2 linked regions of the Callithrix jacchus genome follow. The protein of the gene in region 1 interacts with the protein of each later gene in a biochemical or structural test. Links are inferred from orthologs where the notes say so. Each region holds a gene or a part of one and is shown on either strand. Other genes may lie near its edges. The genes, in order: REL and NFKBIE.

Region 1 (3,825 bases):
TTTGTTTCTTATTTACTAGATGACATAGAAGTTCGTTTTGTGTTGAATGATTGGGAAGCAAAAGGCATCTTTTCACAAGCTGATGTACACCGTCAAGTAGCCATTGTTTTTAAAACCCCACCGTATTGCAAAGCTATCACAGAACCTGTAACAGTAAAAATGCAGTTGCGGAGACCTTCTGACCAGGAAGTTAGTGAATCTATGGATTTTAGATATCTGCCAGATGAAAAGGGTATGACATTATGCTGGTAATAATTTATATATTTCTTAAAGTGGTCCTGCTAATAACATCTTGTAAGATTCATTTAAATACAGCTATGTATATTCATAATTTGTGTTTCTTTTCCTGGAAACTTTCCGTTGGGTTTTTTTCTTTATGCTCTTTGCATCTCATTTGTTGTTTTTTTTTTTTTTTTTGGTTTTGTTTTTTTGAGACTGAGTCTTACTCTATCACCCAGGCTAGAGTGCAGTGGTGCAATCTCAGCTCACTGTAACCTCCGCCTCCCGAGTTCAAGCAGTTCTGCCTCAGCCTCCCAATTAGCTGGCACTATAAGCACGCACCACCACCCCCAGCTACTTTCGTGTTTTTATTAGAGATGGGGTTTCACCATGTTAGCCAGGCTGGTCTCTGCGTTTCTTTCTTAAGAAAGAGGTTTGGGCCAAGCTCGGTGGTTCACGTCTGTAATCCTAGCACTTTGGGAGGCCAAGGTGGGCGGATCACAAGGTCAAGAGATGGAGACCACCCTGGCCAAAATAGTGAAACCTTGTCTCTACCAAAAATAGAAAAATTAGCTGGGCATGGTGGCACGCACCTATAGTCCCAGCTATTTGGGAGGCTGAGGCAGGATATTTGCTTGAACCTGGGAAAAAGAGGTTTCAGTGAGCCGAGATCATGCCACTGCACTCCAGCCTGGCGACACAGCAAGACTCTGTCTCAAAAATAAAAAAAGAGGTTTGATTAGTATGGAATAATTTCAAAGTATCTAAACTGCTTATTAAAATTTCTATTGTATTTTTGAAGGTCTATTTTTGTCCTTGTGCACTTACCACTCAGAGAGTAGTCTCTATATTGACTTCTTATCCAACCTTATTGTATTAGTTCACATTATTGACTTGTGTGATAAGAAAACAAGATGAATATTTTAAACTGTTTGTTTTGGTTTGTTTTGAGACAGGGTCTCACTCTGTCACTCAAGCTGGAGTGCAGTGGCATGATCATGGCTCACCAGAGCTTCAACCTCCTGGGCTCAGGTGATTGATCATCCCACCTCATCCTCTCTGGAGTACCAGGACTACAGGTGTGCACCACCACACCAGGCTAATTTTTGTGGGTTTTGTTTGTTGGTTTGAAATGGAGTCTTGCTCTATCTTCACCAGGCTGGAGCGTAGTGGTATGATTTCGGCTCACTGCAGCCTCTGCCTCCCGATTTAAGCGATTCTCCTGTCTCAGCCTCCTGAGTAGCTGGGACTACAGGCATGTGCCACCACACCCAACTAATTTTGTATTTTTAGTAGAGACAGAATTTCACCATGTTGGCCAAGCTGGTCTCAAACTCCTGACCTCAGGTGATCCACCCTCTTTGGCCTCCCAGAGTGCTGGGATTACAGGCATAAGCCACTGTGCACAGCCAGTTTTTGTATTTTTTGTGGAGACAGGGTTTTGCCATGTTGCCCAGGCTGTCCTCAAACTCCTGGGCTCAAGTGATCCACCTGCCTCTCGAAGTGCTGGGATTACTTTAAACAATTTTTTACCAAGAGAAAAATATCCTTTACTACTGATAGTACTGATTTGGGACATATTCTATAATACTTATTAAATCCAAATTATATACATATTTATTGAAAACATTTTCTATATGTGAATAAAATACTTGTTTATTAGTGGAGAGTTTAATTTTTTACCTGCTTTTTTTGGTTTCTTTCTAATCAGATACTTACGGCAATAAATCAAAGAAACAAAAGACAACTCTGCTTTTTCAGAAATTGTGGCAGGATCATGGTAAGAATATTTTTGATTGATTCATATTTAAATAGGTTTTGTTTTATTTGCTTTATTCAGGTTTTCAATTTTTACTTTTGTTTTGTTTTTGTTTAGTAGAGACAGGGCCTGTCTTTCAGCCAGGATGGAGTGCGGTGGGGCAATCTCAGCTCACTGCAACCTCCACCTCCCAGGTTCAGCAATTCTCCTACCTCAGCCTCCTAATTAGCTGGGATTACAGGCATGTGCCATCACACCTGGCTAATTTTTAGTATTTTTATTAGAGGCGGGGTTTCCCCATGTTGGCCAGGCTAGTCTCAAACTCCTGACCTCACGTGATCCACCACCTTGGCCTCCAAAAGTGCTGGGATTATAGGCAGAAGCCACCACCTCTGGCTGGTTTTTCAAATTTTAACTGATAGTGTTATTTTTCAAATTATATTTAATAATGGAAAAACTTTATCCTAACAGTTAATTTTCCTGAGAGACCAAGACCTGGTCCCCTTGGATCAATAGGAGAAGGAAGATACATCAAAAAAGGTATTTTATTTCCTATAGCATATTTCTTGTGATTAGAAAGACCAGAGCTTGGCACAATGTATTGGAACTCTGTATTTAGGAATGAATAACTACTTTTTTGAAAATTTTCTCTCCTTCAGATTTTTCTTGGTTTCAGTATAGAATGAATTGAACATGGCTTCTGAAGGTTGTGTTAGAAACAGATTGTGTTTTTGGGATTTATTTTTCAAGAAATAACATGTGTTTTATACAGTAGCAATTTTATTAATTATATCATGTTATGGAAAAAATGTTATTGATTTGGTTAGTTACCAATTTTTATAAATACAATTTTACTGGAACATGGCTATGAATATTTGATTAAATACTGTCTCTAAACTGCCTTTTTAACACCATGGCAACAGAGTTGAAAAGTTCCAACAGAGGCTGTATATAGCTCACAGAGCCTAAAATATTTACTATCTGACTTTTTACAAGAAAAAAAATTGCCAATCCCTAGTTTAGATAATTTGACCAAGGGCTAACGGGCTAATTAGAAGTCCTTTCTACCCCCTTACATTCTTAAATCAGTGCTTTTTCCTGGTTTAGGTTGTCAAGCATTTGTATAATATGTAAATAAATACAGAATTAATTTTTTCTGACTGTGAATTTTATAGTCTGTTAGGATTGTGTCATAATATATCTTAAAAGTTGTGTATTTTCTTATTATCCCTAATGGGTGTTTTCTCCATCCTTCCATTTTCTCCTAAAAGTGGAGAGTAAGAGATGATTTTGGCTGTTTGGAGTCCCATTAATTAAAATTCTCATATTTATCTTCCAGTTTTCAAAAATACATTTATAGAGCCTCAGAAACTAGATTTTCATTTAACTGGAGTGAAAGTACATATGCCAGAGTAATTTGCCAAAATCATTTTTCCTGTATTTGTAAACGGTATATGTTACAGAATTTCATTTTGGATTTGTGTAATAATTTTAGTGCTTTTTACATTTTTTATTTGAAATGTTACATTGGTTTCCTTGACATTTTTTTGTGTATTTATTTGTGTTCATATGCAATTTTAATTTAGAAATAATACTTTTTCTAATTTTGTTTATTTTAATTTTGTAAAATAAATTTTTCCTCCCACAGAACCAAACTTGTTTTCTCATGGTGCAGTTGCGACAGAAATGTCCAGACCTACAGGGATTTCAAATCAAGGAGAATCCTACTATCTCTCACTTGGGCACATCTCAAGTGGATTGTCACGTCATGCCTCAATGCCACCTCCGCCTTCTTCAAGCTGGTCATCAGTGGCCCACCCCACCTCACGCTTAGTCAATACAAATCC
Region 2 (2,750 bases), on another chromosome or scaffold:
CCCTGGTCATGACCAACTAAGAAAACAGGCTCAAGTTCCCACAGTTGGTCAGTGGCAGAGTCCTCGTTATAACCCAGGACTCCTTGCTCTGTGGCCCTTTCAGCTAATGACAACACCTCGCTCTGCCATGGGTGTGCAAGGCCCTGGAGAGCAAAGCATATGTCTCTTACTTCCTCAGTCAGGTCCTGGGGTGTCTCATCCTCCACGTTCCGCAGCAGGGAGTCAGCACCCGCCTTGCACAGAGTGGATGAGATGCCCATGAGGCCCCGGCCAGCTGCCAGGTGCAGGGGTGTGCACCCGTTCAGCATGCGGGCATCCACCTGGGCACCAGCCTGGAGCAGGAACTGTACCAGGCCCCGCTCTTGGGTTTCCACAGCCAGGTGCAGCGCTGTCTTCCCACTGGTGCCCTCCTGGGAAGAAATAAGGATATCAGCCAAGGCCTTCAGAGGCAGTGTGCTGGGCCCAGGCTCTGGATAAGGAGGTAAATGCTACCACTTCTGACCGCTGGGCAGGGGGCTTGGGGCTGGGTCAGGTGGGGGGCAGAGTCAGGTGGGGGGAAGGCCCTGTGCCAGGCAGTGTGCTGATGGCTGCCTCACCTGCACATCAATGTCGGCTCCATTTTGAAGCAGCAGTTCCATGAGTGGTTGGTTCTTCTGCAGGGTGGCGATGTGGAGACAAGCCAGACCTGGGATGGGGTGAGGGTGAGGGCTGCTGATCTGCATCCACCAACTCCCTCTCTTCCGGGACCTTCCAGCCATTCAGCCCCAAGGGACTCACTGCCCACTCAATGTCTCTAATCACAAGACTGTTAAAATGCAAACCCCAAAACCCCCTCAAAAATTTAAGGGGAAAGGAACTCAAAGTTTCCACCTTTTCAGAGTCATGTTATTGAAACTTTCATGCTTCAGGAGTCAAGTTGCTGAGTGACATGCCAAAAAAACACCCTCCTCCTATACACAAAACACACACACACACACACACACACACACCTGCCTTCAAGCCCAGTCTGAAAGCCATCTTTTCTGAAAAGCCATCTAGGATCCTCATGACCCCAGCCCTTTCTCAGGGGCCACTTCCTTCTGTGTGTTCTCCTGGCCTTTTTGCTGTCCCCTTTCTGGTCTGGACACTTGGACACTTCCTGACCCTTGCTTAGTAATAGAGATTTTGATTCAAACTTACATTCTTCACCTCCCTCAAGTCCCTGTGCGGATGTCCCTGGCTCCATGAGGCCTTCCCTGACCACTCTATTTAACAATCCTATCAACTCTCCTGTTCCCCACATTCCTTCCCCTCACTGCTCTACTTTTCACTACAGCACTTGCTTCCTTTTAACTTATTACATAGTTCACTTCTTGTATTTATTGCTTGTCTCAATCTTTCTCTGTTTTGCACACAGACGCAAGCATAGTTCCTAGGATAATGTCTGGCACACAGAAAACCCTCGGCATGTTTCTGTTGAATGAATGAATCGGGTCATCTGATCTCTGTTAAACTAAGTACCTTAAAAGCAAGATTTAGTTTTCTGCTCAGCACGCAGTAGGTACTGGGTAAATTCTAACTCATCCATTCATTCATTTAGCAAAGATGTGCTGTATATCTATGTGCTTACAGTGGGAGGGGCACCAATGGACAAGCTGGGACCCTCCCTTCCCCAAGAATGGGAGCCCTATCTCCTATGCCCTCCTCCTCCCACAGGCCCTAAGACTGTCCACACCTTGCCAGTTTTGCAGCTGGAGGTCCAGAGAGTGAGATGGTCCTCTGCCTGGCTCTGGCCGCCCCTCCAGCAGGCAGCGGGCACAGGCGAGGTGCTGGCGCTGGCAGGCCACATGCAGGGCTGTGTCACCATGCCGGTCCTGTAGTGCCCGGCTGGCCCCCTTCAGCACCAGTGCCCGAACTGCACCCGGTTGGTCCAGATGTACAGCCAGATGGAGTGCTGTCTGGAGGCACAAATAGAGGGTCATGGGGCCACTGCAGCATGCTCCCACCTCTGGGAACAAGCTTGGGCTCCAGAATCACTAGCTGCCAGCGTCTTCTTTGAAAGCCACTTATAAAGGTCATAGCCTGGGCTTCCAAGGAAATACTACCAAGCCCTTCTCCTGTCACGCCTGAGTCCCACCAATCTCTTGGGACCCCAATTCTGGAAGCAAGGTGAAGAAAGTAGCTCTCTGCTTTTCTTGTAAGTCACCATAGGCCCTGGAGAAAGGATATGTAGGGACAGAGTCTAGCCTCTCATCCTGTGGGGAGACTTCTCTTATCCCCAGGCCTTAGGCTGCAGGGGTTATGTTGGAGGAAAGATAGAGGCACCAGGCAGTCTTTCCCTGGCAAACGTCTCTGCAAAGGCTCCATTCAGATGTCACCTCCTCTGTAAGCCTTCCCTGGCTGCTACACATGGACGGTGGACCCCATAGCAGCTGGTGTGTGTCTCTATCACAGCTCTTGTCACCAGGCTGTGTATTTAGCTGTTGACACGAGTCCCCCAGCCCAGGCTGCAAGCACCTTAGGGAGAGGCTGTGTCTTACTTGTGTTTGTCTCTTCAGCTTCTAGCTCAGTGTCTGGCATATGGTTTTCTCAGTGAGCGGCCTATGGACTAGCGTGGCTGCTGGGGATGGCTGTCAGGGCACAAACAGGTATCTGGGCACAACCCATTCTCGTCACCAACCTGGTAAAGGTTGTTTTGAATGTCCAGGACCTCCTGGGGCAGCAAAGCCAGGCAACAGAGCAGCACTGCTGGGGCCTCGTGAATCACTGCC

The links.
Region 2: the proteins of REL (region 1) and NFKBIE form a complex in vitro, tested with the Homo sapiens proteins (2 studies listed by BioGRID). The link is inferred for Callithrix jacchus from reciprocal best matches to the Homo sapiens genes REL and NFKBIE.

Annotation. Positions count from the first base shown.
Region 1 is NC_133515.1:53,212,458-53,216,282, reverse strand, and holds part of REL (proto-oncogene c-Rel), read left to right. Parts: intron 1-19; coding exon 20-232; intron 233-1,930; coding exon 1,931-1,999; intron 2,000-2,449; coding exon 2,450-2,518; intron 2,519-3,626; coding exon 3,627-3,825. UniProt on the Homo sapiens protein: Proto-oncogene that may play a role in differentiation and lymphopoiesis.
Region 2 is NC_133505.1:52,725,407-52,728,156, forward strand, and holds part of NFKBIE (NF-kappa-B inhibitor epsilon), read right to left. Parts: coding exon 2,660-2,750; intron 1,938-2,659; coding exon 1,715-1,937; intron 686-1,714; coding exon 597-685; intron 411-596; coding exon 171-410; intron 1-170. UniProt on the Homo sapiens protein: Sequesters NF-kappa-B transcription factor complexes in the cytoplasm, thereby inhibiting their activity. Sequestered complexes include NFKB1-RELA (p50-p65) and NFKB1-REL (p50-c-Rel) complexes.